Linked DNA regions of Neurospora crassa OR74A. The protein of the gene in region 1 purifies or fractionates together with the protein of each later gene. This does not show direct contact. Links are inferred from orthologs where the notes say so. Each region holds a gene or a part of one and is shown in the gene's direction. Other genes may lie near its edges. The genes, in order: NCU06622, NCU06354, NCU02717, NCU03778, NCU07832, NCU01614 and NCU00210.

The links.
Region 2: the proteins of NCU06622 (region 1) and NCU06354 purify together in Saccharomyces cerevisiae (affinity purification with mass spectrometry; 4 studies listed by BioGRID). This does not show direct contact. The link is inferred for Neurospora crassa OR74A from reciprocal best matches to the Saccharomyces cerevisiae genes LEA1 and SME1.
Region 3: the proteins of NCU06622 (region 1) and NCU02717 purify together in Saccharomyces cerevisiae (affinity purification with mass spectrometry; 4 studies listed by BioGRID). This does not show direct contact. The link is inferred for Neurospora crassa OR74A from reciprocal best matches to the Saccharomyces cerevisiae genes LEA1 and CLF1.
Region 4: the proteins of NCU06622 (region 1) and NCU03778 purify together in Saccharomyces cerevisiae (affinity purification with mass spectrometry; 6 studies listed by BioGRID). This does not show direct contact. The link is inferred for Neurospora crassa OR74A from reciprocal best matches to the Saccharomyces cerevisiae genes LEA1 and SMD2.
Region 5: the proteins of NCU06622 (region 1) and NCU07832 purify together in Saccharomyces cerevisiae (affinity purification with mass spectrometry; 5 studies listed by BioGRID, with this or other methods). This does not show direct contact. The link is inferred for Neurospora crassa OR74A from reciprocal best matches to the Saccharomyces cerevisiae genes LEA1 and PRP8.
Region 6: the proteins of NCU06622 (region 1) and NCU01614 purify together in Saccharomyces cerevisiae (affinity purification with mass spectrometry; 4 studies listed by BioGRID). This does not show direct contact. The link is inferred for Neurospora crassa OR74A from reciprocal best matches to the Saccharomyces cerevisiae genes LEA1 and SMX3.
Region 7: the proteins of NCU06622 (region 1) and NCU00210 purify together in Saccharomyces cerevisiae (affinity purification with mass spectrometry; 3 studies listed by BioGRID, with this or other methods). This does not show direct contact. The link is inferred for Neurospora crassa OR74A from reciprocal best matches to the Saccharomyces cerevisiae genes LEA1 and CBC2.

Annotation. Positions count from the first base shown.
Region 1 is NC_026504.1:1,833,587-1,837,138, forward strand, and holds NCU06622 (U2 small nuclear ribonucleoprotein A'), read left to right. Parts: upstream 1-1,176; 5' UTR 1,177-1,475; coding exon 1,476-1,554; intron 1,555-1,672; coding exon 1,673-1,713; intron 1,714-1,824; coding exon 1,825-2,085; intron 2,086-2,202; coding exon 2,203-2,337; intron 2,338-2,393; coding exon 2,394-2,636; 3' UTR 2,637-3,030; downstream 3,031-3,552. Other genes in the region: NCU06621 (hypothetical protein), read left to right, coding at 1-484; NCU06623 (hypothetical protein), read right to left, coding at 3,031-3,552. UniProt on the Saccharomyces cerevisiae protein: Involved in pre-mRNA splicing. Associates to U2 snRNA in a MSL1 dependent manner and is required for normal accumulation of U2 snRNA. Required for the spliceosome assembly and the efficient addition of U2 snRNP onto the pre-mRNA.
Region 2 is NC_026504.1:2,807,242-2,810,027, forward strand, and holds NCU06354 (small nuclear ribonucleoprotein E), read left to right. Parts: upstream 1-1,208; 5' UTR 1,209-1,377; coding exon 1,378-1,518; intron 1,519-1,582; coding exon 1,583-1,609; intron 1,610-1,664; coding exon 1,665-1,733; intron 1,734-1,803; coding exon 1,804-1,857; 3' UTR 1,858-2,115; downstream 2,116-2,786. Other genes in the region: NCU06355 (karyopherin), read right to left, coding at 1-59, 139-228, 311-439; NCU06353 (hypothetical protein), read right to left, coding at 2,116-2,753. UniProt on the Saccharomyces cerevisiae protein: Involved in pre-mRNA splicing. Binds and is required for the stability of snRNA U1, U2, U4 and U5 which contain a highly conserved structural motif called the Sm binding site. Involved in cap modification.
Region 3 is NC_026501.1:3,299,894-3,304,067, forward strand, and holds NCU02717 (pre-mRNA-splicing factor clf-1), read left to right. Parts: upstream 1-1,374; 5' UTR 1,375-1,473; coding exon 1,474-1,792; intron 1,793-1,869; coding exon 1,870-3,638; 3' UTR 3,639-3,842; downstream 3,843-4,174. Other genes in the region: NCU02716 (pre-mRNA splicing factor), read right to left, coding at 1-377, 480-827. UniProt on the Saccharomyces cerevisiae protein: Involved in pre-mRNA splicing and cell cycle progression. Required for the spliceosome assembly by promoting the functional integration of the U4/U6.U5 tri-snRNP particle into the U1-, U2-dependent pre-spliceosome.
Region 4 is NC_026505.1:2,382,505-2,385,902, forward strand, and holds NCU03778 (small nuclear ribonucleoprotein Sm D2), read left to right. Parts: upstream 1-1,428; 5' UTR 1,429-1,640; coding exon 1,641-1,666; intron 1,667-1,765; coding exon 1,766-1,798; intron 1,799-1,946; coding exon 1,947-1,998; intron 1,999-2,075; coding exon 2,076-2,281; intron 2,282-2,366; coding exon 2,367-2,409; 3' UTR 2,410-2,898; downstream 2,899-3,398. Other genes in the region: NCU03777 (mitochondrial 3-hydroxyisobutyryl-CoA hydrolase), read right to left, coding at 1-479, 554-676; dak-1 (dihydroxyacetone kinase 1), read right to left, coding at 2,982-3,398. UniProt on the Saccharomyces cerevisiae protein: Plays a role in pre-mRNA splicing as a core component of the spliceosomal U1, U2, U4 and U5 small nuclear ribonucleoproteins (snRNPs), the building blocks of the spliceosome.
Region 5 is NC_026503.1:1,005,865-1,009,886, forward strand, and holds the start of NCU07832 (pre-mRNA processing splicing factor 8), read left to right. Parts: upstream 1-1,222; 5' UTR 1,223-1,703; coding exon 1,704-4,022. Other genes in the region: NCU07831 (eukaryotic translation initiation factor 3), read right to left, coding at 1-344. UniProt on the Saccharomyces cerevisiae protein: Functions as a scaffold that mediates the ordered assembly of spliceosomal proteins and snRNAs. Required for association of BRR2 with the spliceosomal U5 snRNP, and the subsequent assembly of the U4/U6-U5 tri-snRNP complex.
Region 6 is NC_026502.1:2,951,812-2,955,151, forward strand, and holds NCU01614 (hypothetical protein), read left to right. Parts: upstream 1-1,160; 5' UTR 1,161-1,471; coding exon 1,472-1,579; intron 1,580-1,781; coding exon 1,782-1,873; intron 1,874-1,983; coding exon 1,984-2,056; 3' UTR 2,057-2,840; downstream 2,841-3,340. Other genes in the region: NCU01615 (hypothetical protein), read left to right, coding at 1-735; pp-2 (protein arginine N-methyltransferase HSL7), read right to left, coding at 3,006-3,188, 3,295-3,340. UniProt on the Saccharomyces cerevisiae protein: Plays a role in pre-mRNA splicing as a core component of the spliceosomal U1, U2, U4 and U5 small nuclear ribonucleoproteins (snRNPs), the building blocks of the spliceosome.
Region 7 is NC_026503.1:3,018,652-3,021,971, forward strand, and holds NCU00210 (nuclear cap binding protein subunit 2), read left to right. Parts: upstream 1-1,377; 5' UTR 1,378-1,568; coding exon 1,569-1,637; intron 1,638-1,735; coding exon 1,736-1,857; intron 1,858-1,945; coding exon 1,946-2,339; 3' UTR 2,340-2,820; downstream 2,821-3,320. Other genes in the region: NCU00209 (hypothetical protein), read right to left, coding at 1-34; NCU00211 (mitochondrial ribosomal protein subunit L31), read right to left, coding at 2,882-2,934, 3,005-3,234, 3,307-3,320.

The DNA of each region.
Region 1 (3,552 bases):
TGCTACACCTCAGGCACCTACAGTCGCGAGTGTACCTCAAGAACAGCCAAGCGTCTACCGCTCGCCTTCAATGCAATCCTCGAATGCAGAGAACCGACCCCCATCGCCGAAGCAAATGACCCCAATAGTCGAACGTCATGCTCTAGCACCAATGGCTACCACACCGGACAGGCCCACTTCTCCTTCCAAACGGACGATTCTGGGTGCCCTTCAAAGCACTAAGCCTTGGACCGCGGCAGATCTAGACAATATATTCTCGCCCAACAAGAACGACTACGATAAGGAAGACGGCATTGACAAACTCTTGCACAAGGGCAGTGAGCTCACGAGCCCGGAAAAGCGGATGACCGTGGAGGAGTGGATCTATCATAATGCCAACTTGGCTGAGCAGAGATTGAAGAGGGAATGCGAGGAGATGGTCCTGCTGTTTGAGAAGCAGGGTGCCAGAGCGATGGAAGCTTTGGAGGGGCTTATCGTCGAGTAGTGAGTGAGTGGCACGACCCTTGGGCACCAAATTATCAGCATAAAAGGACGAGAGGTGTGGATTCGCATACTAAATCCCGCTTCTGGTTCAAGGTCGGGCAAATTCTGTGTGTGTGTGATACCAGGTAATGGACATGGAACTTGCGTGATGCGTTACATAGCAAGCTTATTGTGTCAGTGACTTTGGCTTCTGGTTTGAGTAGCATGGAAGGCGTCATTCGACGTCCGGTTAGACGATGTAGGGATAGCATTGTTGGTGACGTTACAATGGAATTGCACAATAGTGTGCATCATAACGAAACAAGCCCTAAAGTTACAGCTGCAGGTTCTTTAGATGATGCCGGGTTGGGGATCTGGACTAAAGAGCGAGTGTGATGAAAGTGGTTTTGGTTTTTCCATAGCGGGCGGTTAGTGGTTGTGAAAGCGTTTACACCAAGAAGTAGAACGAAAACTTGACAGCAACCTGGCGAGATAGCGAGTAAGAAACATTTTAGGCCAACAAGAGGGCAGAAAATGAACATATAATATCTGACTCTAGTACCCTAGTCTTTCAGACACAAACCGTGTCGACTCTGTTTAGGAGCTCCGTGTGGTTGCGACTTGCAAGTAATCCGACGCGCAAGGGTTAGGGTTACTACATCGTCCGTTTTTTTTTTGCGGCGCTGTCCATGACTTCATTGGGGCAGGCAGCCTTGTCAATCTACTTTGGTAACTTCACTACAGCCACCAATTACGAACCACGCGACGCGCTTCAACCTTTTGCTTCTTTAGTTGACTTCCATCAATTTCAATCTCGAAGGCGAACACAGGACATACGGCAATTCTCCTGGCTGTAATCAATAATTAATCACCTGTTTGCAAAGCCCCTTTGCGCCGCCGTATTACAAAAGCACCACCAGCAACAACCATCACAAGGTACCGACCGGCATCGCAGTAGTAGTAGCAGCGACAGCTCGACAGCTCCCCGTCGTCGTTGCACTCCCGTCGTCACAATGAGGCTGACGGCAGACCTTATCAACAACTCCCTTTCCTATCTCAATCCGCTTAAGGAGCGAGAGATAGACCTCCGAGGTGCGTTCCATCGAGAAGAGCAGATACTGCACGGTTGATCTTCAAGTTTCCAAAAGCGCGTACAAAGAACAGAGTTGATATATCGAAAACCTATGTTGGGTTGGGATACATGCAATAGGACACAGAATACCTGCTATTGAGAACTTGGGCGTTGCTGGGGTAAGTTTCTCCCTTCTCCTGGTTCTTCCTCTACTGCTAGTCCTGCTACTGGTAGCCCGTTTCAACCAAATTACCAATTAATGCAGTTTGCTAATCCGGTCGCTACTACAGCCCCACGATGCCATTGATTTCACCGACAACGATATCCAAGTGCTGGGCAACTTCCCGCTCTCTCCCCGCATACGCACCCTCCTGCTCGCCCGCAACAGGATCGCCCAGATCCAGTCGACCCTACCGAATGCGACCCCGAACCTGAAGAACCTCGTCCTGGCGTCCAATAATATTGGCGAGCTGGCGGATTTGGAGGTGTTGGGAAGGTTTCCAAGGCTTACGCACTTGGTCTTGACGGACAACCCCGTTACCAAGAAGGAGGTACGTCACACAACGCCCTTTCGTCGCCCAGTGTTATGCGGCTGAGAGAGAATCGGAGACGGGGGTGGCAAATGGAATGAATGTACGGAATGGCTGACAATGTTTGTCGACACACAGAACTACCGCTACTGGGTCCTCTGGCTGTGCCCTCAGGTTCGCTTTCTCGATTACGTCAAGGTCAAGGACGCCGAGAGGCAGAAGGCGAAGGAGCTGTTTGGAACCGCTGATGAGCCGACGGAGTTGGCCAAGACGGTATGTACCTTGTCTTCTTTTTCAATGTCATGACAACCCTGCTAACATGCAAACAGATAAAGGGAATCAAGAGCAAGACCTTTGACGTTGGCGCCAGCTCCGCCAACGGTGCGGCCGGCAGTGGTCCTTCCTCGAAACTTTCGCGTCTCAAGCTCACAGAGAAAGAGAAGAAGAAGTTGCAGGATCTGATCAAGAAGGCCGACAGCTTGGAGGAAATCATCAGATTGGAGAAGGCGCTCAACGAGGGACGGCTGCCACCTGGCATTATCGCCGAGGATGACGATGCCATGGAGGAGTAAGGAGGAACCAAGGTGACGGGCACCTGACGAACGTGGTAGATCAGGTTGCTATATGTTCGTGATATGATGGCTTGCAGAGGTGACGAAAAGGGGGAGGACGGCACTTCAAAGAGCTTACCATTTGTCGGCGTTCGGTTCTAGATGGGGCTTACTGCAAAATAACTGTATACCAAATTGCGCAAATTTGCTGGGTTGAAACAGAGATAGTGAAACATGATAGTGGTGTCATGATTTCACCGCAGCAATCGGAGCGGCCTTGAGGAAAGGGACGTTAGGACGAGCATATCAAGGGCCCATGGTCTTTGATTCGGCAACTCTACACCTCTTAACGTCTTGTACTCGCCCGGATATTCAACACGTCTATTCGGCTCTGTATGTATGGACAGTCACTCAACTAACCCGTCATATCCACATCCCCATCATGACCCCGATACTGCTGTGACGCCGCCTGCCTCATCTCCATCTGCAACTGCGCGCTGGGATCCTCGTCCGACGTAGTAGCTGGCGGTGATGCCGACAAGATACCCCTATTCATGCCGCTCATCACACCAGGAGTAGAACTAAATGGTCGTCCCGAAGCCGACGACATGCCCACCACACCCGTCGTGACACCCATATTGGTAATACCGGTATTAACCCCGCCAGCACCGAGTCCATTCACCGGCGCCGCCAGCCCTCCAATGCTTCCACTAGCACCGCTTCCTGTACCAGCAGGCAACCCCCCATTCATAGACATCAAGATGGACGTTTGCTGCAACCCGCCGGACCCCTTTTGCTTCTTGGCATTCGGCAGCATCGCCATCCTATCCCGCTCATCTCCATGATCACCCACTTGTCCCTGCTCCAAAGATAGCATAACCCCCTCGGGAGCTGCCAGTCCTCCCATAACCGGTCCAGGCGCCAAAACGACCGCGGC
Region 2 (2,786 bases), about 970 kb from region 1:
TGGTTGCGAAGAGCAGCATGTTCACTTTCGGGAATTTGCGTTGCGAGGTCGTAGGTAATCTGAGAATCGTGAATGTCAGCGGTGCGCGACATACAAGCGTAGCGGTATCGTCGTGATCCAATGGGTATCTGTAAGTACCTTGCCCTTCAGTGTCGTTGCTGCGAAGAGTTGCGCCTCGGCTTCGGGAGAGCCCTGCAAGATCGATATTGTGGTAGTCCAGGCCTCGTTCTACGGTCGATTGAGAAATGCGGGTTAGTCACATGCGAACCATAGGTGTGTTGGCGTCGAAGGAGCTGAAAGCCCAACTGACCGACTTCTGAAACTTTTGCAGGTAGTCCATGGCGGCCTTCTTGGAACCGGAGTCACCACTCCGCATCGTCAGCATGGCCTGCAGGACATTTGGGGTGGTGAAGCCGTCTGTGGCGCCGTTGGAAGCCATGTTGGGCAGCTTCGGATTGTGTATGATGTGATTTAGCTCGAATACAAGTGTTGTGATGGCAAGTGTTGCGATGCGGTGTTGCAAGTGGAAGCTATCGCTGGGGTATCGCAGGTCGCAAAGTGGATGGATCAGCCCCTCCTATTCGACAGGAGTGTTGTCCGACTTATCGGTCTTGCGACGCGATGGAAGCTTTCAGGATATGTTGTTGTAAAGGCGAGGAGCTGCGATGCGCACGGGGTATATGAAGCTCCAGAGAGGTTGCAAGAATAAAGGACTGGGAGGTATTGTACGGTGCCGCCGTGGTGACAGGATTGCTGCAAGTTGGAGGTTGCCGGCGACGATTTGCTCTTGAGCGTCCAAAGAAACGACGATTGAAAAACATCCCGCCAACAATCGAAGAACGTCAGGCTGCCTGACACCGACCGACCGCGAGTGGAGTAAACGGCGGCGGGCAAGCGGGTCAAAGAAAGTGGAAGCACATCCTGCACCGCCATAAGTGGGACAAGCGGGAGGGGCTCATGCTACCCCAAACTGAAGATTCTGTGGCTTGAGAACCCAAGCAGCTCGGAAAAAGTGAATTGAGCTGAATGCCAAGAGGTTATGACACGACGCTGTGGGCCCAGCAGCATGTAACTAAGTGCACAGACCAGCTGAGCAGCTCCCGTCCCGTCCCCGGCGGGAGGTGCTTGTGAAAACAAGAGCTCCACACGCCAGAGACAGACAGGCAGGCAATTCGACATTCGGGGGAAATTCATTGAAGTCACGTCCCGGCCGTAGAGAGAACGCGTCTGGGAACAACTGCAAGCCAAGCCCAGCCGACCAACAACGACCATCCACAACTTGATTGCGACTTACTTGTTCAGCCTCCACATCACCATCAAACTTCTGTCCTAAACACCGGCCAAACGACCAAACCACAACAAACTTTTATTCTCAACATGACCGGCAGAGGTGGTGGCGGCAACCGCCGTGTTCTTCTTCCTCCCATCAACTTCCTCTTCCGTCTTTTGCAACAACACTCGACCGTCCAAATCTGGCTGTACGAGCAGCTTCACATTCGCATCATCGGCACCATTCGTGTAGGATTCTCCATCGTGACCTCCCCGAAGAGCAAACATAGGTGCTGACAATTCCGTCTTACAGGGCTTCGACGAGTTCATGAACCTGGTGGTGAGTAGCGGCGCATGTCCCACTAGCACTACGAGACCTAACCCCATTTCCACAGATCGACAATGCGATTGAGGTCAAGCTGGTCTCCAAGACAAACGAGACGGAGGAGAGGAGGGAGCTTGGGGTAAGAATATGTTTAGGGCTGGACGTCGATGTTGTTGTGGCAGTGGAAAGGGTGGCTAACTGGGTCGCAGCAAATCCTCCTGAAGGGCGACAATGTCTCGCTCATCCAGAGCTACTCCGGGTGAAGAGCTCCAAACCTGAAGGAGAAGCGGTAATCGACGATGCAATTTACGCTGGGACCTACATCGAGCGACGAGCCAGCAGATCTAAAGCTGTACATAGACGGCCCACAAAGATGTGGTGCGTGGCCTTCTACACAACAAACGACACCGAATCTACGAAAGAGATACCAGGGAAAAGCGATTGGCCGAGGCGCACAGGAATGTCGACTATATGTATTTGATCAAAGGAAGGCAGTACGGGATGGATATCAGGTCATGGAACTATTTGGGTGCAGGAGGGCTCTTAATCTCGCCATTTCCGAGTATCAGGCCGTCCAGAGGTTGATCGTGGCGACCAACAGGTACCGACCCCTCGGATGGAGAGGATAGAAACTGCTCAGACAGCGCTAAGCCATAAAGCAATACAGGGGTTTCCTGCTTCCCCAGCTCGACAGACTTTTGGTTGTGCCGGTTGATGAAGTAGTCGTAGAAGCCTTTGCCGTGTCCGAGCCGTCTGATGGCCCCAGCTTCCGGGTCAATGTCGAAGGCCACGCCGGGCATGAGGATCAAGTCAAGCAGGGTTTGGTCGGAGTGGTGGGCGTCGGGACCTCCAAACACCCTCTGCCGCTCATGGACCGTGGCCGGGTCGATGCTGGGAATGCCCCATCTGTCTGGCTTGAGGGACTCATAGTCGTGAAGATCTCTGAGGCGGACCATGTCCATGACGCGGGCTGGGAGGTTGGGCGAGGCCAGAGGGTTCTTGTGAAGATACGGGATGAAAACCTCCTTGCCGGACTCTAGAGCGTGCCTGACGATGCCATCGGTCTGGATCTCGCCCGTGGGCATGGACAGGAACACGCTGACCCGTTTGGCGTCTACGTAGGGCTTGAAGTTCCTCAGAGTGTTGAAGACCACAGAACCTGCAATTGCGGATTTAGTCTGCGCTGGCAGTA
Region 3 (4,174 bases), on another chromosome or scaffold:
CCCAGAAATTGACCCTTGGAAACCGTGGCTTCCACCGTGACAATCATCAAGGTTGGTCCGTCAAGAACTGACTTGAGGGTTAACCCCAGAGGGTTATCGGTGGAAAGCTGCAACGCTTTCATGCTCTCCGAGTCCATTGGGGAGTTGCCCAAGATGGCAACAACCTTGCAGTATTCGATTGGGTTCGGTAATAGCGACTCGAGTGCAGCAAATCTGGCGGAGAAGTGATCCCTCACAAACTTGTGGACAAGGGCCACCTCACTGTCTATCAGAGTAGACAGTCTGTTGGCGTTGGTCAAGAGGTTGTATTCCGGGTGATCTTCGACATGGCCGACGTCGTTGGCCTGAGCGGGTTGTGCTTGATAGTGTGCGATTTTCTGCAACGTTCGATCCAGACTGTCAGGGCTATTGCTCAAATAAGATGTAAACGCTTTTCCATGTTCAAAGGGAGCACCGCAAACGGGTATAAGGGAACTAACCTCGAGTACTGGCTTCAATGACTTCATAAGAGTCGCAACAGTTCGAACATCTCGCACTCCTCCCAGATGCATCTTCTCAACCTTGGCTTTTGCTTCCTCGGGATCTTCTACAGCATTCGAGTCGTCGGCGCCGACGCCACCCATAGCTTCGTCTTCGTCCTCGCCCTCCTCGTCGCCCATGCCTTCATCTTGATCCTCATCATTGATCGGTACATGTGCGTCGTCCACGCCGGAGCCTCCAGTCGTGTCAACGCCATCGCCTAGAAGACCATCGCCATACTCCTCGCCACCGGCCTCGGAGCCAGAGTCCTCAAAGTCCTGGAGGAGCTCGTCGAGAGTAGACGACATGTTGGCAAAACCCTGTTTCCTGGGCAGAATATTCGGCGACTGTTCGGGTCTCAAGGTGGTTAGATTCAGGAGTAAACGGGACAGTCGCTGATACAGGTACAACAGCTGCCGTGTGCCGAAGAAAGAATGGAAAAGAGTTCGATGTGTTGTCGACTTGTTTTGGTTTTGGGAAGAATGGAGGCAAGAGACCGCGGCGTTGCATCACGGCCTAGCGTACTGTACTGACCTCGTTGCGCCAGTGCTTTGCCTGCCGGTCGTACACAGTGCGGCTTGGTATGTCGCCGATAGCTGCCAGTGCAGTGAGTAGATAGTGTCAAGTAGGCGTAGTTCGCAGCCACACCCAATACAGCGGCCTTCCAGCGGCTCAGCGTCGTCTTATGGGCGAACCTGCTCGCTGAGGTCGGACATGTACTACCTATCAGATGTACAATGACATGATGAGCGAAAAGTGTCCATACCCACTGTGCAGCAAGGTTCAGTAAGTAGGCAGGGGCATCGAGCCACGGTCCATCAATCGCAGCGCGTCCTCAACTGAGTTCAGTGGCTGGCTGCTGTTGCGTCCAGACCCCAAAATCTCATTGAGAAACCGAACTTACAACACCACGCCAACATCTGCAGATCGCCACTTTTTACGCCCATCTTCACAATGGAGTCATCGCGCGGCCCGCCACGGGTGAAGAATAAAGCCCCTGCGCCTGTACAGATCTCGGCCGAGCAGCTGCTGCGCGAGGCCGTCGACCGCCAGGAAGTCAACCTCCAGACCCCGACACAGCGCTTTGCCGACCTCGAGGAGCTCAAGGAATACCAAGGTCGTAAGCGCAAGGAGTTTGAGGACTACGTGCGGCGTAACCGAGTTCGTCTATCGAACTGGCTCCAGTATGCTCAATGGGAGCTAGAACAGAAGGAGTTTGCGCGGGCTCGCTCTGTGTTCGAGCGCGCTCTGGATGTACATCCCAACAATACTCGTATGTTTGTCTAAACTCAAAGTGTCCATGTGCTGTTAAATGTGGCGCACATCAGTCGCTAACGATATGTCCAACAGAACTCTGGATCCGATACGTTCAAGCAGAGATCAAGAACCGTAACATCAACCATGCACGCAATCTGTTGGACCGCGCTGTCACGCGGCTGCCCAGAGTCACATCTCTCTGGTACCAGTATCTCTACGTTATGGAGATGCTCGGCGACATTCCGGGTACCAGACAAGTCTTCGACCGGTGGATGAAGTGGCAGCCAGATGAGCAGGCGTGGAGTGCTTATATCCGTCTAGAGAAACGTTACGGCGAGTTCGACAGGGCAAGGGAGATCTTCAGGGCCTTTACCGCCGTCCATCCGGAACCGAGGACGTGGCTCAAGTGGGCCAAGTTTGAAGAGGAATACGGGACCAGCGACACGGTCCGCGAGGTCTTCCAGACAGCTATCCAGACAATTGCCGAAACGCTAGGCGACGATGCCGTTGACGAGAGGATATTCATCGCCTTCGCCCGGTACGAGGCCCGTCTGCGTGAGTATGAGCGGGCCCGTGCCATCTACAAGTTTGGCCTCGACAACTTGCCTCGGTCCAAGTCGATGACGCTACATGCCCACTACACCACATTTGAAAAGCAGTTTGGCGACAAGGAGGGTGTGGAGGACGTCATTCTTACAAAGAGGAGGAGATTGTACGAGGAGCAAGTCAAGGAGAACGCAAAGAACTACGACGTCTGGTTTGACTTTGCGCGACTCGAGGAGAGCGGAGGAGATGTCGATCGGACCAGAGAAGTCTACGAGCGAGCCATTGCTCAAGTACCGCCAACCCAAGAGAAGCGACACTGGAGGCGGTACATTTTCCTCTTCCTCTTTTACGCGATATGGGAGGAGAGGGAAACAAAGGATATCGGGCGAGCCCGTCAGATCTACGACACCTGTCTGAACCTGATCCCCCACAAGAAGTTCACTTTTGCCAAAGTGTGGGTTGCCAAGGCGCACTTCGAGATCCGACAGGGCCAACTAACGACGGCCCGCAAAACCCTCGGCCGCGCCATCGGCATGTGCCCCAAAGACAAGATCTTCAAGGAGTACATCCTCCTCGAGCAGAAGCTCTACGAGTTCGAGCGCTGCCGCACCCTCTACGAAAAGCATGTCATGTACAACCCGGCCAACTGCCAAACATGGATCAAGTGGGCCGAGCTGGAACGTGGTCTCGACGATCTCGAGCGCACCCGCGCCATCTTCGAGCTCGCTGTCTCGCAGCCGATCCTGGACATGCCCGAGGTGGTATGGAAGGCGTACATCGATTTCGAGGAAGAAGAGGGCGAGTACGAGCGGACGCGTGCCCTGTACGAGCGCCTGCTCGAGAAGGCCGATCACCCCAAGGTCTGGATCAGTTACGCCCAGTTCGAGATCAACATACCCGACGAGGCCGAGGAGGAGGAAGAAACGGAGGAGGAGGTGGAAGAGAAGCCTGTTAGCGAAGAGGCCAAGGCACGTGCTCGCAAGATCTTTGAGAGGGCGCACAAGAGCATGAAGGAGCGCGAGCTCAAGGCCGAGCGTGTGTCGCTGCTCAACGCGTGGTTGGCGTTTGAGAAGACGCATGGGTCGGCGGAGGATATCGAAAAGATTCAGAAACAAATGCCTAGGAAGACCAAGAAGAAGCGTAAGCTGGAGGATGATACTTGGGAGGAATATGTCGATTATATCTTCCCGGCTGATGATCAGCAGACCAAGAACTTGTCGAGTCTGTTGGCCATGGCGAATGCTTGGAAACAGCAGGCCGCGGGGGGTGCTGGTGGCGCTGCTGTCGATGAAGCGGCTCAGGGAGGGAGCAGCTAGTGTAGGAGATGCAATGTTATATTAGGCCGCAGACCAAGAAGCCCATAAACTTTTCCCCCCGAATACAGTAACCGATATGGTGCGGATCTTTACTCCCACACATATATACCTCTTGAGTTGTTCTCGGTATTAAAGATCACATAAAAAGCCCAAACCACGATAGAAACCCCATACTTTGATGAAAGGTGTGAATTATATTTTAACCAACTGCTTGGTAGGTTGTTCCATATCCCGTACGATTAAATACGGCTTTGTACATGTTGGGATACTCTGAGGATATCAGGTCTTCCTCGGCCGTCGAATCTCATGGTGGTCTTGACGTCGATTTCCAGCACATTGTATTCGTGGGTCCAAAAAGTATCGTTTATCTCCATGAAAGAAACTGACTACCGGCCTTCTCTTTATACATATATCGTGAGAATTCGCAAAGAGGCATACATTGTTTATCATTGTCATTCTCTCAACCTCTCGGAATTGATCTGTTTCTTCATCATCCTCATAAAACCCAACCTGTTGACCATCATTATCATCATCAT
Region 4 (3,398 bases), on another chromosome or scaffold:
AAGCCAATCTTGGTCTCGGGCATGGCGAAGACAGTGCGCTCGGTCGCAATTCTGAAGGGGGCGTGGATGCTGAGACCAACACCACCTCCCATGGTAATGCCGTCGAGGAAAGCCACGTAAGGCCTGGTGTAGGTGGAAATCAGGTGGTTGAGCTTGTATTCGAGGCCGAAATAGTCGACGGATTTCTTGACGCCCTCGGGGCCCTCGGCGTTCTGCTTGGCCAGCGCGGCAACATCACCACCGGCGCAGAAGGCCTTCTCTCCGGAGCCCTTGATGACGATGACGTTGGCCATATCGGAGCGTTCCCATTCGAGGAGACGGGGCGCGATCTTGCGGATCATGGAGCCATTGAGGGCGTTGTACTTGGCTGGGCGGTTGAGCTCGACGGAGCGGAGATTATATAGACTGTTGAAGAGGACATCCTCGGGCTCGTCACCCTCGACGGGCTTGAACAACTCGGCGGCGGCTTGGGTCGAGATCTGGGAGGAGGGGGCGGCGAGCGTGTTAGCTGTGTCCGTGTCCATGGCTTTTGTCTTCCCAAGGAGCGTCTTACTGGGGCCTGCTGGCCCAGGACTTTGGCTCTGAGCGGCATCGCGGTGAAGCTTGGTCGGCAGCTGCGAGAAGCAACAGCAGAAGCCAAGCCGGCGCGGCTGGCAATGGACTTGGAGACCAACATCGATGTACACTTCGGTAATTGGCTGGCTGGCTGGCTTTGTCTAGAATAGGAATGGAATAACAAGACCCAGGGTCAATATGGAAGAAAAATACTAAGTCCAAAATCCACCCCGAGGCTGTTTAGCACCGTTGTTGCATCATAGACCGGCCAAGGGACTCGGGCACTTTTTTTCGGGACTCGTTTTCCTGGGCTGGGAAAGGGAAAACGGGAGAACAATCACCAATGATCTGAATGCCGCGTGGATGCAGGAACCGTGATAAGTGATAGCGAGAGTATCTGCAAATCCACTTTTTGCTGGAATTCAACGCGAAATGGAGCTCCAGCTTCAATTGATTTTCAAGGGCACCGCGCCTGGCAATCCCCGGGGCGGGGTTAGGTACGGGGGAGCTAATACATAGTGTAGAGGTAGCTGTGGAACCTGCCGAATCCCCGCCGCTATCGCTAGAAGCTGGAATATCCTCCGGCCGATGATACCTCTATCCATTCAAACTTGTCATTTTCCAGAAGCGACGCTCGGGCCCTCCGCTCACTGGAAACCCGATGTCCCGGCTGTCCGGGGGAGCATGTCGGGTTCGGCGGGGCTGGCAGCACCTGTCACCGGAGCGGTCCTCAGCCTTTCGCATTGGGATCCACCGTGAGCTTGTCATCCAATCGCCAAACTTTGAAGACGGTTCTGTTCCCAGAAAAGCTTGGCGCGTGTGCTGTAGCTGCTCCACGCTCCGAGTCGCCGCCGCGCCTGGCCCTCCGCTGCTGCAACATTTCCCGTCGTGGATTGAAGATAGCGATAGCATCCATTACAGCAACTATTGTCCAGGCTTCTACCGTACACCACCAACCCATACCACGCGAAGCAACCACTCGACGTCAACAACCATTTTTGATACAAAGACAAAACTACAACTCATTTGCCCCTCCTACATTTCAGTACCACTCCAATTCAACTCTAGACCAAAACACCATCGTCATGGCTTCAGCGGATGCAAAGATTCAGTCAGTAGCTATCCCACTCTCCAGCATCAACCCATGTGCGCGGGCAGCCCATGGACGCTTCAAGGAAACCAACTTGACTAACAACTGTCTACTATACAGGGAGCTTCTCACGAAGCCGCGCAATGAGCTTACGTACGTTATATCCTCTTGTCAACATCACCTCCCTCTGTTACCATCGTCATCTCGCCCGCCCTGCTGCTCCCAGCTCCTCCTCTTTGCGACCCAAGACCACGACGCCCGCCCAGCCAAATCACAAAGCTAACCAACTCGTCTGATACAGTGAATACGAAGTTTCTCTCCTCGAAGAGCACGAGTTCTCCGCCGGTCCTCTGGTACATATGCCCCATAAGCCTTGATCTACCACCCCTTCGACACGGAGCAGCGACTAATATGACACCCTTTTTGGCAGTCCATCCTCCAGACCGCCGTCCGCAGCCACTCCCAAGTCCTCATTTCCGTCCGCAATGGGCGCAAGATCCTTGCGCGCGTCAAGGCTTTCGATCGCCACATGAACATGGTGCTGGAGAACGTCAAGGAGATGTGGACCGAGACGCCCCGACTGGCCAATGGCAAGAAGGGCAAGCCCGTAAACAAGGACAGGTTTATCAGCAAGATGTTTGTGCACTTCCTTTTCATCTGTTGTTTCTCTCGCCCAGGAGAAGCGAAGATCAATGGCTGACATGTTTCACTTTCCTGGCAGGTTCCTGAGAGGCGACTCCGTCATCCTTGTCCTCCTCAGCTAGTTCACGAATAGCACGGCAAAATGTATAGGTTGGAGGTTTATTTCACTTGCACGGCGAAGACACGCGCCAGCACAACTTAGGGTTAATGGCTCGAATGGAGTGGGGATGAGCCCGGGAAGGGTACCTATTGTTGGTCGACTGAATCGAGAGACATGCGGACTATATCACCTTACTACTACTCAACCGCTCGATCGACCATGATGACGACACAACCACGAAAGCAATTCAAAACGCCCCGTGAAAAGGCGCCGCGCAGGAACGAGAGGAAAGAAGAGAAACCCAAGCAGATTTTCAGGGGCTATTAGGAAGGTCATACAAAGGGAAAACTAGTGTGAGCTCGGCGTTCAAACGTGTATTTGGTTTTGTTTAACTTTTTATCTTTCATTTCTGGTAACTTGATCGAACAGAATACCCAGACCGTGTTTAGGTTTTCGCAGACGCGGTCATGTTTTCTCGTGCTTTTTAACGACAAGCAACGGGATGATTTGTATTGGTGTTCCTGGTACGTCATTGAAATGGTGGTGCAAACTAACTACCTAGGGGTATATCGAGATCACATACAGCACCAATTCTTACGGCAATTCCGCCTCTCTTGTAACCTCCTCCCATCCATCATCCGATCCCTTGGCCTGCTTAGCACTGGAATCATCAGCCTTTTCAATTCCAGCCAGTCCAAGGAAGAACTTGGCCAATCCCCAAGCGCCCGGATCCGGCACCTGCTCGAATCCGGACCCGCCAATGTAGACGGTGCGGCCCAACTTGGCCTTCATACCCTTGGTGCCCTCAGCTCCCTGCTTGGCAGCCTCGGCCGCCTTCTTCACATCACCGGTCTTTTCGAGCGCATCGACAAAGGGATAGAGGGCATCAACCAGGGTGCGGTCACCGGGACGAGCGGGCGTGTACTTGGACAGGGCCTCACAGCTCAGTTTGAGGGCTGCGGCCCAGGCATTTTCATCAGCAGCTTTCTTGTCCGACTCCCCTCCACCGAC
Region 5 (4,022 bases), on another chromosome or scaffold:
TTCTGGCCGTTCTGGATCTGGCTGATGGTGGACTCGAGTTCGTCGAAGCGCTTGTCCTTGGCGCTCTTGACCTTGGTGGTGGCTTCATCGTCGCTCTGCTCTTCCTCCTCCTCCTCGGACTCGTCGTCGCTCTGCAAGAAACGGGAGGCACCCTTCTTCTTGGTTCCTTCTTCCTCGTCGCTGCTGGACTCCTCGTCGCTCTCCTCCTCGTCAGACTCCTCCTCAGACGAAGACTCGTCCTCGGCCTGAACCTTCTCCTCCTCCTCCTCCGAAGTGTAGACCTCCTCCTCCTCGGAGCTGCTGTCGGTGGAGCTGTCGTCACCGCCGCGGAAGAAACGAGACATGGTTGCGGTCTCTTTCGATAGACTCGGAATAAATATGCGGGTTCCGGGGGTATGGGCGCGATGCAGAAGTCCGGGTTACCGGTATGGGTACTTGGAGTGGTGGACGGAAGTGGTGATGGTCCGGATGGTTGGCAAAGCAAAACCCGGCTGCGGCGAGGCGGACAGAGGGGTCAAAGAATTAATTTTCACTGAAAGGCCGTTTTGGTGGGGGCGATTTGGGGCTTAGCGAATCGAGCGGAGCTGTTTGGGCCTCGAGCGCTGTAATGATTGGGTATGACTTAATCCGAGCAAGGGGTGTGGGGGGAGAGGATACTTGCTCCGCGGGGGGGAGGCTGAACTTATGAGCTGAATGTACCTGCTTCCGCTTGGAGATCGCAGGACGGGATTCCTAGAAGATGAAGATAAGGTCTGAACCTTGCAGATGTTCGCATGAGGGATCTGTCAGAGGAACGGGTTTTTGTGTATACTTTGGCGAGCGGAGCGAGGGAACAATATCAAGCATTGCTTTGTCAGGCCTTCACTATGAGATTCAACACCTGTCGTCTGGGTACTTGGGCGCAAACAGCCAGCCAGCTGATGCCCCACCTTCAATGTATCAGCTACCTGAACTGATAATGTATCACTATACTCGGTTACATGCATCTGAGACGTGCTGTGAGCTTGTCAAGCCAGATCTACCACGTAACGGGGATTGCGTATCGAAAGTTACAGTACGTAACAGGAGACGTTTCGCCACGAAGTCGAGAAGTGACAGCCCAGCCTGCCCAGTCGCTGCAGGCAACCAACCCCAGGCCCTCTTTCACTAACTGGAGTGGCGGGGACGCTACCGGGCTGCAGCTGCCAACAAGCACCTGCACAGCGAAGAATCCCGCTGCCAGGTTTCCCGTTTTGCGCGCCAGGACCTGGACCGCCCGCCCTGACCTCTGAACTTTATCGACCGCCCACGCAGCTGTCGCGAGGCTGTTCAAGTTTTTCGTAACGAGGCCAACCTGCCAACGTCAACGCCAGCATCCTGGCGCCACCAAACCACACTTTCACGAATACAACATCCACCTCTCCATTCTCAGCTTGATCGACCATCGCCGCGATTTGGTGCGAGGTCGACCTACGCCCATTTCCATCTAAAACCAATGGGAATCTAATATTTGCCAGTCCTTTTTTCTCTTCCTCAGCGAGACAGGCCTTGGAACGACGCACGCGGACTGCAAACCGCCATCGCGCGGACAGGCGACTTCACGGTATCCAGCCTTCTATCCATCTCGTCGCCAACGCCGACTGGTACACGCTTCTGACGAAGACGATTACAACGAAACAACCACATAAACGTCAACAAAGCTTCATCAAGCAGAAATCGAAAAAATGTCCTATCCGCCACCACCACCTCCTCCCCCCGGCTGGGGCGCTCCTCCGCCGCCATCAGCACCTCCGCCGCCGCCGCCTCCGTCCTCTCTCCCACCTCCTCCTGCCCTCCCAGCACCGCCGCCGCCTGGGTTCTTTCCACCAACCGACCCTCATGTTGCCAAGTTCGCCCAGAAGAAGAAGGAATGGCTTCGCATGCAGAGAAATCGCTTCGGCGAGAAGAGGAAGGGCGGATTTGTTGAGACGGAAAAGGCCGACATGCCACCAGAGCACTTGCGGAAGATCGTCAAGGATATTGGGGATGTTTCGCAGAAAAAGTACACCAGTGACAAGCGCAGCTATCTTGGGGCGCTCAAGTTCATGCCCCATGCTGTGCTGAAGCTGCTCGAGAACATGCCCATGCCTTGGGAGGCTGCCAGAGAGGTCAAGGTTCTCTATCACGTCAACGGCTGTCTGACCCTTGTGAATGAGATCCCGAGAGTCATTGAGCCCGTCTTCTTTGCACAGTGGGCCAGTATGTGGACGGTAATGCGCAAGGAAAAGAGCGACCGCCGGCTATTCAAGCGCATGCGATTTCCACCTTTCGACGACGAAGAACCGCCCCTGTCCTGGTCCGAGAACATCGAGGACGTCGAGCCACTTGAACCCATTCAGATGGAGTTGGATGAGGACGAAGAAGCAGCAATCTATGAGTGGTTCTATGACCACAAGCCGCTTCTCGACACGCCCCACGTCAACGGGCCCAGTTACAAGAAGTGGAATCTCACCCTGCCGCAAATGGCGAGTTTATACCGTCTAAGCCGACCGTTGGTGTCTGAGGTTGTCGACAAGAACTACTACTACCTCTTTGAGCTCAAGAGTTTCCTCACAGCAAAGGCCCTGAATGCGGCTTTACCAGGCGGGCCTCGCTTCGAGCCACTTTACAAGGACATTGACCCCAATGATGAGGATTTTGGCGAGTTCAATGCTATGGATCGCATCATCTTCAGGAACCCTATCCGAACAGAGTGCCGTGTAGCTTACCCCCATCTTTATAATGCACTTCCGAGAAGCGTCCAGTTGTCAGTCCACTCATACCCGCAAGTTGTCTATACGCGCACAGAAGACTACAACCTTCCCGCTTTTTACTTTGACACGAGCATCAACCCGATTTCTTCGCGGGCTGTTGCCCCCAAGAACCTTACAGTCAGCCATGAAGATGAGATCTTTGGACCTGGCAATATCGAGGAGCCGGAAGAAGATGCGTTTGAGCTGCCCGCTGGTGTCGAGTCTTTCATGGCCGAGGAATCGCTGTATACGGATGAGACGGCATCGGCCATCGAGCTTTGGTGGGCGCCGTTCCCCTTCGACCGCCGCTCTGGACGTACGGTTCGTGCCCAGGATGTACCTCTCGTAAAGCATTGGTACTTGGAGCACTGCCCGCCGAAGCAGCCCGTTAAGGTGCGCGTCTCGTACCAGAAGCTTCTCAAGAACTACGTCCTCAATGAGCTGCACAAGAAGCATCCAAAATCTCTTCAGAAGCAAAACTTGCTGCGGACTTTGAAACAAACAAAGTTCTTCCAGCAGACAACGATCGATTGGGTTGAAGCCGGCTTGCAAGTCTGCCGACAGGGCTTTAACATGCTCAACCTGCTTATCCACCGCAAGAACCTCACATATCTCCATTTGGACTACAACTTCAACCTGAAGCCCGTCAAGACGCTGACAACCAAGGAGCGAAAGAAGTCTAGATTCGGAAATGCCTTCCATCTTATGCGTGAAATTCTGCGCTTGACCAAGCTCATTGTCGATGCCCAGGTACAGTACCGTCTTGGCAACATTGACGCCTTCCAGCTTGCCGATGGTATTCTGTATGCCTTCAACCATGTCGGACAGTTGACCGGTATGTATCGTTACAAGTACAAGTTGATGCACCAGATCCGTTCCTGCAAGGATCTCAAGCATCTCATCTACTATCGCTTCAACGCCGGCCCGGTTGGCAAGGGTCCAGGCTGCGGTTTCTGGGCGCCGGCATGGCGTGTGTGGCTCTTCTTCATGCGCGGTATCATTCCCCTTCTTGAAAGATGGCTTGGCAACCTCCTTTCCCGTCAGTTCGAAGGTCGCCACAGCAAGGGAGTTGCCAAGACCGTTACCAAGCAGCGTGTTGAATCTCACTTCGATCTCGAGCTTCGTGCTTCCGTCATGGCTGATCTGCTGGACATGATGCCGGAAGGTATCAAGCAGAGCAAGGTCAACACGGTTCTTCAACATCTTTCTGAGGCCTGGAGATGCTGGAAGAGTAACATTCCTTGGAAGGTTCCTGGACTTCCCGCAGCTATT
Region 6 (3,340 bases), on another chromosome or scaffold:
ACCATGGCGCGCCAAGCGCGCGAGGCTAAGGCGCGGGAACAGAAGCATAAAGAAGCCGAAGACGCGTGGGACGGCAGCGTGCCGGATATGGCGGATCCGATTTCTGCTGAGGAGCAGGCTAGGCTTGATATCTTGGAGGCGATTGTAGAAGGGTGGTCGTCTGGTACTTCCAAAACGGGTGAAGAGGATGTAAGGATCCGTGCCTCTGCGTTGTCAATTCTGGCGAATTGCATCGAGACGAATATTGTTGGTGTCGCGGCGGTGTTGACGATGGCGAGCGTGGATCTGTGCATTAATGTTGTGCAGGTAGAGCGGCAGCTGGAGAAGGGGATACTCAGGAGGGCGGCGGTGAGGCTGATTATGAGCTTTATCAAGGCCATGGACGAGGCGAAGCACGAGGGGAGGGTGTTGGGGATTGCGTTTGGGAGTGAGACGCAGGAGCAGCTGAGGACGATTTTGGGGTATGTGGAGCAGACGGACGAGGATGGGTTGGTCAGGGAGTATTGTCGGGATGTGCTGGAGAGCTTGGAGAATTGGAAGACGAATAGCTTGGTGGATGAAGTGTCGTTGAGCCAGGCAAGAGGAGGAGGGTTCGGTGGTGGTGGGTTAACGAAGCTGGCTGGGTTGGTTGTCGACCCGGAGAGGTCGGTTTCCCATGGTGGTGATGATAGTGGTGGAAGTAGTGGCGGTGTTGAGATGTTCGGCGGTAGACCTAGGATTGAGGAGATTGAGTAAAATATCTTCACCCAGTATGGGACTTTATTAATTCAAAATGACTTCCTGTCAGGTCCTGAACAGTCCCCTTCCATTTCGTTTCAAAACATCGGCGTCTTCGAGGGTCTTGACCTGAAGGTGTAAGTGGGCATCGGAAATAATCAGGGAGAGATGTCACCAGGTAAACTTGAGTGAAGAAGTGAAAGAATACACTAAGCTATGTACCTGAGTAATGATAAGCAAAAGGATCGCCATAAAGGTCTTGGTGATGCTCATCATCGTCGCTGTCAACAACATCAAGTATCCTCTAGCCACCAACCCTAACCCTGTAATCTACTAATCAGACAGGCTTATTGCCACGTCCAATCAGCTATCGCGTTAGGGCTCCACATGTCCCTCGTAACAGAGGAACTTCCATCGTCGCGCTACTCCAACGCCGCAAAGGTCCAGCATTGGAGGCACAGTCCCAGTTGGAGCTTCTTCCATCATAGCATCAACGCCAATCCCATCTCTCTTCCCAACTTTTCATAACCATAACCTCGACCTTGTTGCGTCCACCCGACCACAACCCACTCTTACACATCTAAGAAAACCGACAAATACAAAATTCCATTAGCACCAAGCCGAATCGCGAATCCAACTTTCGAGCCGTCCCATCGACGACAACAACAACAACAACAACAGCAAGCCTGTGAATACACACACAAGGCGCCACGCACTTGACCAAGAACCAACCCTTCGAACCGAAACCGACAACATGTCTTTTGTCCCAGTTAACCCCCGTCCCTTCCTTCAAGATCTCGTCAACAGCTTTGTGACGATCCGCTTGAAGTGGGGAGAGACGGAGTATGTTGGCCGTCTTGTTGTACGTATATATATACATATCCAGCATCTTTCTTCCAATCTAGCCTTCCCTTTGCCGCTGGACTTTGGTCTTGGCATACACAGCTGTGGGAAGCGATGGGGAGGGGAGGGGAGGGGGAAACCAGCAGGCAGGACCAAGGAGCAACGAAGGAAGAACAAAGAGAGAGAGGCTGACGAAATGCGTGTGTGCATGTGAACAACAGAGCATCGATAGCTACATGAACATTCAGCTCAGCGACACAAAGGAGTACATCAACCGCAAGTTTACGGGCGCCTTGGGGCAGGTTCTGATCAGGTACGTCCATACTGAATACATCCCACTGCTACGGCTTTCCATACGGACGACCCAATCCCCCATCTCGTATCAACTAGCCGGGATGCTGACATTATGGACTTCAACAATAGGTGTAACAACGTTCTCTACATCAAGAAGGCCGACGAGGCGGAAACAAGTGGCGACGTCAAGATGGAAGAGTGAAAGTTCTCTCGCCACCAGGAGGAGGAAATGAAAGGGTAGCCTAGACTAGCGGGCAGGGTGGTGAAGGGCGCGATTTGCAGAACAGACAGGAGGAATGTGTGAGGAGGGAGGGTCGTGATGTTCCGACTATAATACCCTGGGAGGAAAAAAGAAGAAGAAGAAGAGATGGATCTACTCTACCGACCAAACCAAACCGAGCCGAACCGAAGCACAAACCACAACGCACCCGCTCGCCGAAAACTCGTTTCCCAATGATGAAAGTGTGCGCTTCACGAAAGGTGCGACAACAGCTTTGATGATATCGGGCGCGCATGGTGTGGAGAGTGGTACGGAAGGGCGGATTTGCTTCAAGAGAGAGTGAACGGTGGATGGATGGATGGATGGGTACCGAGCGTCTCTCTGTCTGGTAGAGACCTTCGTTGCATCTCCTGCGCAAGACCGTCAAAGGAGCATGTGCCATCTGGCCTTTCCTTGAAGATAAAGGCTAAAATAAGATGTTGGAACAATACTCAGCTTAACAGGAAAGAAAGAAACAAAAATCTGTCAAGACCACACATCATCTAGGTACTGAGCAAAGAAAAGGAAGTGGCGGGTTGAGTTAGACATGCGGACATGGCGTCTGGTTTCCAGGTATTATTTCAACTGAAAGAAAAAGAGAACGAGCGGCGTGAATTTCTGTTAGTCTCAACTTCCACTTGCCTATACATCACACGACTACAGGCAAAGACAGTCACCATCATCATACACATCGCGCGCCTTCCCAATTATGAACATTCTATCCACCATTTGACTTCGAATCTTTTATTCTTTCGCTAAAACAAGACTTTTGACCTTTTCCTCGCAGCGTTTGTTACAGCTGCATACTTACACACTCCTAACACCCGACCTAGCCAGCCTTGCCCACCACCTACTGGTACCTAGTTACCTCCGTTTTTACATTTCCTCTCTTCTAACCAAAAATGCAGGCAACCTTACGACTGCTATGCATCTCAGAAGCGCCAACCTTGATACGGGTCTTGGGACCCACCCAAGCATACACTTCAACCATCCACTCGTACCACACCCTGGTGTCGTCGGTCTGGCGCCACATGCTGACTTCTAGCTCGGTGTCCTGAGGGAAGTAGAGGGGTTGCTATGTATCGTCGAAGAAACAGGGTCAGTAATCGTCACCAAAGCAGGAGCGAGGAGCGAAAAGTCAAGAAAAACAAGAAATGAAGGAAGAAGAGATAAAAACTCACCCTAAGAGGGAAGAAAATCGGGAACCAGGAAATCATGTCCTTGCTC
Region 7 (3,320 bases), on another chromosome or scaffold:
GCCAGGGCGCCGAGAAGCTCCGGATTTTGGGCATCCCGACTGTGCTTGGTGGTTTTGTGCTAAGAGCTGTCTGTTGTCGCTATACTATCCAACTCGAGCCTGATGAATCCTACAGATGACGGTGGTTCGTGTGGCGCAATGAAAACCGAAGTTGGTGTCTGGCTAGGCAGAAATAGTAGCTTGTGTTGAGGTCCTGCTATGTCCTAGCATGCACGGGCCGGTTTTTGTCGTCGTGCTGCACTTCGCTTTCTCTGCTGAAGTAATGTATGTAGGTGGGGAGGTAATTGGCTATGTAGGTAGGCAGGCGCACTATGGTCGAGGTACGTATGTATTTGATGTACCGGTACTATTAATGTGATGGCGGTTCTCGGTTTTTGAAGATGAAAAAAAAAAAAAAAAAAGGTGATCAAGAGCAAGTAGAACAGAAGCCAAGGGAGGGAAGACAAGGAGAGAGATTGGGATCCCTTTTTGAAGTGGCAGGCCCCTCGATCGATCCCATGGGAGAAAAAGCCAGGAAAGCGAAGTTTGCTAGTGGTCTCGGTTGGCTGGTCAGGATGGTAACAACAAGGTTTGACTAGCGTGTAGTGCTACGGACCTGATGGATGCCCGTGGATGGACGAGTGCTGGATGCCACTATTGTCCAGTCCGAGCCAGTGCTGTAAATGAGGCGTCCAGGGCGTCACTAGAGGCGTCCGCTTCCGTGCCTATGCCGTATATTTTCCGTTGCTTGCCTTGATCGATCGTGTTAGCTTCATTTTAGCGCGTTTCCACTCCTTCCACAGCCCTTTAGTCCGTTTCAACTGTCCGCCGGTGTTCAGTCCAGACCGTGCTCGCCGCCTCGTCTCACACCATCGGTCATTGATCAACAGGAGACAGGCAGGCCGCCCGGGATGAGAGGGGATGGAATGGCCGAATGGAGGTCTTAACGGAGACCTAGCTGTATACATACTATAAATGGTAAGCCCGAGGTAGGTACAGTTGTGCTGTGACGCGCCTGTAAATTGGGTGCCAGATTGCGGTCCAATCGGCTGGCAATGGTTGTTGGATCAACGACAAAGCGCCTCCACCAAGTCCTCCTGCCCTTGCTTCCATCGCTCTGCCCTTGCCTGCCGTCGTCATATTTGCGGGCACCTCGTAAGATAGGGTACCTGACCCACCACCAACGGCTTCCGTCGCCCGTTACAGTGCCAAGACTACCTGGATTGCCATGCAGTGATGTCCGATGCACTGTGACACTGTGCGCCAACAGGACTAAGTGTAACTGACCTGAGCTGAACTGAACTGTGAACGAAGCCTGCAGTGCTGCTGTCGCGGTACACGGGCACACCAGTCGCGCTCAGAAAGTAGCTGCGCCTGTACTTCCACTTTAGCGGGCAACCTAAGTTACCTCTTAGGTAGGTCCAATTCCATTGGCAAGGGAAACCACTGCATCATCCCCATCGACGTCTCAGAACTCCAAACCATTGAACTTCCACTTGGGCTGACAGCTTTTGATTTTCCTTCTTCTTCGCAGTTGCAGGGCACCTTTCACCCAAGAGCAGATAATCCATCTTCACTACCAGGTAACCATGTTGAACACTCGCCAAAGGAGCACCGTAGAGCGCCTTGACAGGCCAAGTGCATACTTTTTCAACAAGGTGAGTGCTCCTGACGGCATTTCCATGCCCAAACATTGCCAATCTCTCCTGTCCATAATTAGCACCCCGTCGACCGCTGACCCATCCACTCAACACAGAATAGGCGCAACAGACGTCACGACCGGGACCACCGCGATGGAGAAAACGAAGACAGTAACATGCATCCCGAAGCGTTCGATGACCCGTTGAAGGATGCGACCACGCTCTACGTCGGCAATCTGCAAGTTTGCCCCACGCTGCCAGTCCTTAATTAAAAAAATCAAAAAAAAATCAAAAGAAACAAGAACTAACCGAATGTACCTCGGCAGTTCCTTCTACACTACCGAAGAACAGGTTTACGAACTCTTTAGCAAATGCGGCGAGATCAAGCGCTTGGTCATGGGCCTCGATCGCTTACAAAAGACACCGTGCGGTTTCTGCTTCGTCGAATACTACACCCATCAGGACGCTCTCGATTGCATGAAGTACATTGGCGGCACCAAGTTGGACGAGCGCATCATCCGAACCGATCTCGACCCAGGCTTCGAGGAAGGGCGACAGTACGGCCGTGGAAAGTCGGGCGGCCAAGTTCGTGATGAGTACCGTGAGGACTACGACGAGGGCCGCGGTGGTCTTGGCCGGCAAATCCAGGCCGAGAGAATGAGGGAGCATGACCACAAGCGCTACGACGATAACGACGAACAATACGGCCGCTTGCGCTAGAGTTGTCATTGCATGGGAGTTACGTGGGACAATGAGGGAGTGCATCATGATCCAGTGCACAGATATTCAACCAGTCGTCATGACAAATCGACACAAAATATGCAAGCCGGCTCTGAAATTACGAATTTTGTTCATTCAGGGCAAGTGGAGGCGGAACAGAGAAGCGTAAAAGACAAATACCCCCTTGGAAGACATGATATTCGTTGTTGTATTGGTATCTTGCTATGGTATTTCGGGAAATTATTGATTTCCCATCCATTCGGTATGGCTCCACACATTCTTCTGTGATGCTCGCCTGGCCGTGTTTGCGCTGCTCTCTGCAGTGGTATCTCAACATGGAGCGAGCAGGAGTGTCCATGATGGACAGGACCTCCAAGTCAGTCAGTCTCTTTGCGAGACGAGACAGGAGGCCTCCTCTTCTTTGCCCCAAGCAAACGGTCCTGTTAGCGGTATCTCCAATGTCACCCATGCCATTTCGCTGCGTAATGTTACAAGTGATATACATGCTTGCACGATATCGTCCATCGTCCGGGTCGAAGGTCTTAGTAACCGGGAGGGTTGACTCTCTGGGACACACGGGTCCACTTGGGAAGCTCTGGAAAAGGAATGCCGTATTAGCCTTGGTCTTTGACTGCTGTGAAGTGATGCACAAGGGTGGCCCGTACTGTGGATGCCCTTGCGGTACCTCTTCTCCTTGCGGTCGAAGATGGTGTACTTGTCCTTGGGCAGCATCTCGGCCTCGGTGGGCATCTCAGCCCTCCAGCGTTCCACCGCCTTGACGGTCTCACCCTTCTTGGCAAGAGCGTTCTCAATGGTGGCGACGACGTTGTCAACGGCCCTCAGTCTGCGGCGCTGCCTGAGCTTCTGGAACTTGGACATGCGCCATGGGATCTTCCTGTTTGCCGCGACATGATTAGCATTTCCGGTAGAACCTTTGGCGCAACTGCAACATAGGGTAGTCGCTTACCAAAGAAGACCCCC